2 linked regions of the Coturnix japonica genome follow. The protein of the gene in region 2 purifies or fractionates together with the protein of the main gene of each other region. This does not show direct contact. Links are inferred from orthologs where the notes say so. Each region holds a gene or a part of one and is shown on either strand. Other genes may lie near its edges.

What was found. Proteins that work in one complex are often made in the same cells at the same time.
Region 1: the proteins of NCOA4 (region 2) and FTH1 purify together in Homo sapiens (co-immunoprecipitation; 6 studies listed by BioGRID and IntAct, counting the BioPlex papers as one, with this or other methods). This does not show direct contact. The link is inferred for Coturnix japonica from reciprocal best matches to the Homo sapiens genes NCOA4 and FTH1.

Annotation. Positions count from the first base shown.
Region 1 is NC_029520.1:7,909,965-7,914,146, reverse strand, and holds the start of FTH1 (ferritin heavy chain), read right to left. Parts: upstream 2,801-4,182; 5' UTR 2,507-2,800; coding exon 2,396-2,506; intron 1,010-2,395; coding exon 863-1,009; intron 1-862. UniProt on the Homo sapiens protein: Stores iron in a soluble, non-toxic, readily available form. Important for iron homeostasis. Has ferroxidase activity. Iron is taken up in the ferrous form and deposited as ferric hydroxides after oxidation. Also plays a role in delivery of iron to cells.
Region 2 is NC_029521.1:1,953,557-1,957,820, reverse strand, and holds the start of NCOA4 (nuclear receptor coactivator 4), read right to left. Parts: upstream 2,801-4,264; 5' UTR 2,739-2,800; coding exon 2,737-2,738; intron 2,014-2,736; coding exon 1,860-2,013; intron 1,399-1,859; coding exon 1,258-1,398; intron 1,151-1,257; coding exon 1,062-1,150; intron 625-1,061; coding exon 516-624; intron 25-515; coding exon 1-24. Other genes in the region: translation initiation factor IF-2-like, read left to right, coding at 2,801-2,981, 3,022-3,455. UniProt on the Homo sapiens protein: Cargo receptor for the autophagic turnover of the iron-binding ferritin complex, playing a central role in iron homeostasis. Acts as an adapter for delivery of ferritin to lysosomes and autophagic degradation of ferritin, a process named ferritinophagy.

The sequences.
Region 1 (4,182 bases), on a different chromosome or scaffold from region 2:
AGATTGCCCATGCCATATGGTATCAGGCTGAATAATAAAGCTGGGGGAGTTTGCTAGGGGTGGGCTGCCACCTTGAGATTAGCTGAACACCAGCCAGCAACTGCACCACACATCACTTCTTTAGTATATCCCTTATATTTCCTTCCATTTCTGTCCTGTCAACTCCCTTTTGTCTCAGCCTCTAAAAATCCCTTCTCTAATGTTCCCCCCATCGCAGTAGGGGAGGATTGAGGGGATTGAGTGAACATGAGATTGCATAGGTACAACCTCAAAGAAAACCAAACTGTTTAAGATATCCAAACAGGGAAGCTGAAAACTATTTTTCTTAAGTGACCATCACTTACTGTTTTCTCCATAAAGATTTGCTATGTATCAAACTGAACATGCTAGTAGTAAATCAAAACAGTGGAAAAACGAGTAAAGGGAGCAAATTATGCCATGAAGTCTTGCAGCAAGTCCTAATTAACAACTGGGAAAAGACTATTTTGTCATCTCAGCTCTAGTCACAAGAGTAGAAATCCAAGAAGGCACATGCAGTTCAACGTAAATGAACCACTTACACTGTAGTTCACCATTCCCAGCACCACCACCACCACCCTCTAAAACCACTATAAGCTACATATATGCAGCTGTTCTTATGGAGGAAGTGACTCCTAGTAGGTCAGCAAGTTAATGTGCATACCTAGACTTTGCCCAGACTGGCCACCACACACAGATAACAGCAACACGTGCTCAACCACTGGCAGCTGCTGCTGCTTTTCTACATGAAGCCTCTCAGGGAAATTCCTTCCCAGACAGCCTGGAGACAGGCCCTAAGATTAGTACTGCATTAGGCATAACAACCCAGAGACCTAGAGCTCACCTTGATGTCCTGCAAGAAGATGCGCCCACCTCTCTGATTTTGCAGCTTCATCAGCTTCTCAGCATGTTCACGCTCCTCATGGGACTGGTGCAGGAAGTACTTGGCAAAGTTTTTCAGAGCCACATCATCCCGGTCGAAGTAGTAGGACTGAAAAATAAGAATTTGTGCACTGAGAAACTCAAGTCTCACTCTAGCTGCAGCACAAAGCAACATTTATGCTGTAACTTCAAACATCTCAGCCCTTCAAGAAGACTAGAGCCCAAGAGGGGGGTTACCAGCAGCACGACAAGCAGCAGGGTAACATGACCAAAATCCTCCCTCTATGGAAAGTTCAGCTTTCCCTGATATATTTAAGCTTTACTTGATTTTAATCCATGTCCTGCTTAGTAAATACAACTAGCTGGATTTGTGGTTCACTTATGAATACGTGAAAACCCACACACCACTAAGCTCTCTAAGCTCTGCCACCTTGAGCACCTTGCTTTCCAGGATTGTTTCCTACTCTTTTCATTGACTCAAATTCATTGACAATGGTCTCAAGTCAAAGTTCTAAACGTAGCACCTGCTAAGAGTAAGTAAAGAGTGAGCAGAAACACTGAAGTACTTCTTCAATAACGCTTTCATGCATACTCCACCAGATTTAGCAGGTGTTAGACCAGCAATATGCTTCCTACTTCTGAGAAAGCCTTTAGTACTACATTTAAAAGCAAAAAGCTTAACTGCATTTAGAACACCTATTCAACAGCATAAACAGCTCTAGAAAGCCACATCTGTGACAACTGTTAGAAGCCATCCCACAACTCCTTTTCCTTTAAAGATAAAGAGCAGAATAGAAAGCTTTTTATCTGTGTATTACTTGTATCTTTGTATTTGTGAGTTATCTACCAGGGAAGAACCTGCAGAGCTCTGAGTTCTAGCAGCAGCAGCTCAGAGGCTCACAGGACGCTGGTGTTTGTGTACCACTATCACCAAGAGCCTGCAGTGGAGGGTCACGTCCTCGTAGTAACATAGCAGCAAGCACTTTAATCCTACACCAGCACACTGCGATACAATACAGGTAGGAAGCTGCCTGCAGAGGTCAGAGCTGCTGTCTGAACTGCGGGCACCAACTCGAGAGCTGCGTGCCAAGCACAGAACCGGGGATGCCACGGATTCCTCCTAATTCACTTCAAAACCGGGACCCGAGAGCCGTGCCTCCAGAGAACGCCAGTGGGAGAGCTGCCAAGCGCTCCATCGGGCAACCGCCGCTACCCAGCCCTGCCCCAAGGGCAGCGCCGCCCGGCAGCTCTGAGCCGCGCCGATAACAGCAGTTAACGCCAGGCCGAGGCCGGCCCGGAGATAAGAGCCTCCCTCCCCCCCTGCATCCAGCGAGCTGCGCGGGCCGCCCCCTCCCCTGGGGGGAGGAACTGAGCGCGGCTGCGCCGGGAGGCACCGCCCGGAGCCGCCCCCCGCCGGGCCTTGCCCGGGCCTGTCCCCGGAGATACCGGGCCCCAACCCCCGCTAAGGCCTTGTCCGCCCCGCTCCGGCGCTCACCATGCTGAGGTACACGTAGGAGGCGTACAGCTCCAGGTTGATCTGCCGGTTGATGGCGGCTTCGCAGTCCTGGTGGTAGTTCTGGCGCACCTGGGAAGGAGGCGTAGCCATGGCGCTGCCGAGATAGAGAGAGATCGATGCGATGGATACGACGGCTGCTGCGGTGGCGGTGGGGGGAGGCGGCGGGTCCGAGCGCGGCCGGTTCCGTCCAAGCACTGTTGACGCAGGAACCCGCTCCGCTCAGCCTCGCCGACGCGCTCTGAGCGCTCCCGCCCCGCTCCGCCCCTTTTATACCGCCGCCCCCACGGGGAGGGGGGACGGGGCGGGGCTTCCGTGCGCTGCCCGCCGGGCGCCGGCCGGGCCGCCGTGACTCAGCACCCGAGCGGGGGGCGGCACTTCCAATGCGGGCGGGACCGGGGGGCGATGGGTCAGAGATGGGAGAAGCCTAAAGGGACCATGGAGCAGCAGGGCAATGGACAAAGGAACCGTGTGCACACATAGAGACGCCAAGCATGGCCTCCTGCTGCTGTGCCATCACCTTTCTAATGTACCATTAGAAAACGCTGACATTTATCAGGAGCACTCCAAGCAATGGCAATGTGAATCACTGAGCCTACAAGCTCTGGTTGGCTTCATTTTTCCTCAGACATGCCCCGTTCTGCAAAGTTTACTATGGTCTTTGAAGCTGTGATTGCCCCCGGGTGATGCATAGGGGTGTGTTTGCTTTTTTAGCTGGGTGTCTGAAAGAATCGGGCAGCCGATGCCTTCCTTTGTCTCACGGCTTTCCTGTCGGTTAACAGTCAGGAGTCATTAAGATCGTGAAGTTAAGGTGGATGGTGCCTCTTGCTTCTCAGGCTGCCAGCTACATTTGAATTCTCCTGTTCGCCTCCCACGCTAATGCTTATGTAAAGGAAGAAAGGAAGAAAGTTGTAACCGCTGGGCAGAGTTGCATTATTGTTTACATAGTGTGGTATTTTCAGCAGCTGGAAGCTGAACCCTTGCTTTTGGCTGGAGTTGTCCTCTCAAAGCACAAACCCCTTTATAGCTTTATGATCAGGTAGGCCTCTATACTGCCAGCCGATGGCAGAGCACAGCTCAGTACTCCAGAAGGGCTAACCTTGAACCTACTTCCAAACGATTTCCCAGCAGCTTCTAGATTGCAAACCATTGCTTGTTGTTTTTTTCCAGTCTCATTGTGACCAAGCACGCATAAATCCTCATTACGGTGTTTCATGAAAGGCTGCGCAACAGCACAATTCATAAGGAACTGAGCAAATACCCTATTAATAACAGGAATGCGTCCTCTGTAGTTTGAACAGTCTGTGCCACCCGTGATCAAATGTCAGTAAGATAAGGGAAGCAGTAAATTCTGCTTTTTTAGATCAATGGCAAGTTGCACAAACACACACATCAACATCGACAGCAGCAGATTTTGCTTGGTCAGAATAGGAAACATAGGGCTGCAAGGCCATGCATCACGGCGTCTTGGGGACAAACAGAAGGCCTGTCTCTCACTCTTGTCTGAAAGTGTTCAGGTTTAGCTATAACCAAAACTTCTCTGTCTCAAACTACCATCACAGCGCTTTAACTTTGTTCCATCATGTTTTCCTTTGGCTTGTTTTAAGCCCTCTTTCATCCTCCAGGAGTGCAGTTATGGGCATGCTCAGGAAGCAGCCTGGCAGAAGCATTATCGTGCTCTGTCCAGGCTTCACATCAAATGACATTCACATCTGTTAACCAACAAGCTCATCTTCTGCACCCAGCAATGCTTTGCACACTACTTTCTG
Region 2 (4,264 bases):
AGTTATCTCTCTCTCTGAGGTTTGCTAGAAAAAGAGAGAAGTACAGTTCAGGTTAAATCTCCATTGTTTTCAGTTTCTAAGACTCAGAAGCAAAGTGCAGTCACAACTGATCCACTCTTAACAGCCAATGATTTTCATTATTCAGAACACAATAAAGACTTGCTACAAAAAGACTAGTTCCATTCCACTGCCTTTAAGAGAGTGATCTCCAATAATACACGAGATACGCTGCTTACATAAGAACCCCAAAATAATTCTACAGCAGAGATACCTTCCCACAATGTAAGATTTCCTTTAGATTCTCACAATCAACATTAGTTTTTGCTGGAAAAGAGTATGAACACAACCAAAGTAACATAATATGTAACTAGAACTAAGCTCAGCCAAAATCAGAGCAGTAATTAATAAACTACTGTCTAAATATTGAATGAGTAGAACTATGGGACCTGTCCACAAAAGTTATTTAAGTATTTAAGACTTTAAGTACTACAACCCAGTAAAGCCTCTGTGCTTACCATTGTTTTAATTGAACCAAATGAGGTAATGGCCTGGCGAAGGTACGATGTGTCAGCCTCAAAATTCAGGACAGAAGACTCCTCTGGTTTAAGAGTGAGACTTTCCAGTCTGAAGGAGCAAGATGAGAGTTACAGCCTTATGTTTTTAACTTCTACACCTGTACAGCTGCCTTGGCACTGATTAACAAAAACAAAACATTTTTACTGCTTGTACAAAAACAAGGAGATGTAAATTCACAACCTAAAGCAAAGAAACCAGCAAAGCACAACTTCTTCCTTCTTACTTCAAATGAAAATCTGAAGTGATGTGCACAAATGAGCACACCTACTCCTTTCTATGGTCTTGCTTTGTTTTTTACCAATCTAAGGTGCAGATGAGAGGAATCATACTTCAAAGTGCTTAAAGACTCTCAACTATGAACTATTAAAACACAGAAATGGTGATTCAGGTTAATTATTAGTTCTTCTAGAATCACAAATAGGGTTAAATTTCTAAGTCAAAATAAATTACCGACTGTATTAGCTCGCATTGTAATCAATATTTACCTCTCCAGGCAAACTGAAATCTGGTTCGCTAGTTCGTTGTTGTAGGAGTGTTCCAGCTGATGAATAAGGCAATTGAACTGTCCCAAGAACTGTGTGGAAGACAAAACACTCATTATTGTTTGGGCTTCTCAAGTTAAAACCAAGATAACTACAAAGATGCAGTTCATTTTAAAATCCCAGTGCAACCACCTCTTACCCAGTAGAGCTGCTGAGCTTGCTGCTGCAGCGCCTCCTCCTTCAGCTGCTGGATGAGATCTACCTGCTCAAACAGCCACACCTCACGGCTGCGCAGGCATTCCAGCTGGCGGCTGATATGGCTGTGAATCTTGGCTTTAACCTGCAAGGCAGCATTATAGCATTATTCATTGCTGTTATATCTGTCAGATGGTACCAACAAGCACATGCTGGGCAGGTTACAAAACTCTATTTCTCAGGCACAAGTGGTATTTTTGTACCAATTTATTCCTCAAGCTCTAAACCACAGTAACCCACAACGCCACATGACTCACAAGTCAGTGCAAGTTTCCAAGCTGCCTCTAAAGATGATCAAATAACAACGTTATTCACAACATCCCTTTACTCAGATGCTTCAGCCAGAAGCTTTAGAAAATGCCACATGCCTGGGCTAGAAGTACAAAACAACCTCACCTAAAGCATGCCTAAATTACAGGCCAAGAGACTTGCCCATCTATTGGAAACCTTCAGATCACCCTCCCAACAGAAAGTACTCTGGAATTATTTAAACTGCCAGTGAAGTCAGACTAGTTATTAATGCATCGTTAACGAATGAAGAATTACCTCTCGCCAGTTCTCTTTAATCTGCTGCTCGGCTTTGACAATTCCAGAGATAGCTGTTTCCAAGTCCTTCCTCGCCTGAAGGCACTTTGCCAGCGTCTCGCTGCTGCAAGAACTTCTATTTCTGTCTTGTGGCAGACTCATTCTCAGCGTGTTCCTAAAGCACAAGGAAAAAAAACACTTAGAAGCTTCCGTTCTTCCTTAAGGAAAGAGGAAGGGAAGAGCCATCGATGTTGCTTCACTATTAAATGCAACAACAAAGCCTGAGACCCCACAGCGACTGAGTTCTGTGAGCAGAGCTGAAGCTTTCTCTGAGAGCAACAGCAGACTCCGGGGTGCTTTGGCACAAGGAATTTATGCAACCACAGGAAAACCAACAGATATTTGCCAACAGGCTCAACCGCAGGAGCTGAGGCAATCCTCCCTGCTGCTCACGTGCCCCTGCATTTCTGTCTAGCCAGCAAACTGCAGCAGCTGGGAGCTGATCTGGGCAAGGCTCTGCAGAGCTGATGGGGAAGGCAAGACCAGCCTGGCAAGGCTGCAATTCTATCCTTGTACTGACACAGCCTGGCTCATTCACAGCTGCTGCTCTACAAGGTTTCACACCCTTCACCTTGCTAACGTACTCCTTAGAACATCCTTTAGATTCTCCCTTTTTTGCCTTAAAATCAACCACCCTCAAGCCCTGGGTTAGGTTATAACCAGGACTCAAACTCAACTCCCTGATATACAGCCTGCAGGAGTGCAACCTCTCAGAAGCCATCTGGAAACGTTAGTATGAAAGTCAGAGAAAACCAAGCAAAAAGGCAGTGACACGGCTATACCCAAAGCTGCCACATATACAAAGCAATACGAATAGATCACAGACCGTATTCCTTACATAAGAACCACACCGCCGTGCCCTCCACAAAGAGCAGCAAACGCCGCCCTCCGGCTCTCGCAAAATGGCTGTTCTGCCTCGTCAGGAATCAACAGCCAAATGCACGCAGCGTTACGGAACGAGCCGGATCGCTCGTTTCCTTTTCCTCAGCCCCTTCAGTCAACAACGCAGCCGCTCAGGACGCCCGTCCCTGCCTCACAGCGGCCCCGAAATACCTCAGCGGGCGGACCGGGGGGCAGCAGCAGGTACCGAGGGGCAGCAGCAGCAGCAGGTACCGAGGGGCAGCAGGTACCGAGGGGCAGCAGGTACCGAGGCGCTCCCCGGGGCTGGGCCGGGCAGCTCCGCGTCTTATCGAGGCGGCCAGGCCCCGCTCCGCCCCGTCCTCACACGGGGCGCACAGCGAGGGCGTGGGAGCCGGAGGAGCCGCTGTTGGGGGGGGGAAGGGCTCAATGAACAACATACAGCTCGATGAACAACAGAAATCCCGTTCCGAACCGCAGTCCCGGCACGGCGCAGCCCCCAGTCCCCGCAGCGCACCGACCCCCGGCCCGCAGCCCGCACTCACCGTGCGCTGCCCGCGCCCCGCTCCGCGCTCAGCACCGCCGCTGTCGGGACACGAACGGCCGCTCTCGCGAGATGGGCGCCCCGAGCGCCGCCTGGAGGAGCGGAGGAACGGCTGCAACGTTGGGGGGTGCGAGGGTCAGAGCGCCGCTTGTTAAAGGCCGCCCCTAAGGAGCGTGGAGTGCTGCCTGTGTGAGGAAACATCTGGTTCCAACCCCCTGCTGTGTGCAGGGTCACCAACCAGCAGCCCAGGCTGCACAGAGCCACATCCAGCCTGGCCTTGAATGCCTGCAGGGATGGGGCATCCACAGCCTCCTTAGGCAACATGTTCAGTGCGTCACCACCCTCTGGGTGCAAAACCCAACCTAATCCAACCTAAACCTGCCCTGTCTCAATCAAAGAGAAGGCTGAGAGAGATATCTCAAGTGCAAGAGGCAATTGGACAAGGCCAGACTCCTATTAATGGTGTGCCACAGCGTAGCTTGCCCCATACTGGGCAGCACAGCACTGTGTAAAAGGGAAAGTGATGCTGCCGTGTGAGGCAGACCCAGCTGGGTGCCCTGACAGGACAGCCATGCCCTTGTCAATGTGAGGCAGCAGTGCCAAAGCACAGCCTGCAGTTAGGGCCATCACTGCAGGTGTCATGGCACAATGCCCACAGTGCAGCCAGCAGCAGGCTCCCCATTGGAAACAGGCCATTTTCCCTTGGTCTCCACAACCCTGCAGCTCACCCTCCCACACACACACACACACACACACCTCCTCTGACGTCTGTCCTTGGTCCCCTTCCAGACAGGCCGTGACCTGGCACACAGTCCCACAGCTGCCTCCAGCCCTGTCCCTGCCTTGTCCTTCTGGGCCTGGCCAGGGCCAGAGCACATGAAAGCATCAAATACCCACACACTGTTATTTTTCTGTGAGAGAAATAACAACATCTTAAACCTAATAACAACTCCTTAAACCTAAG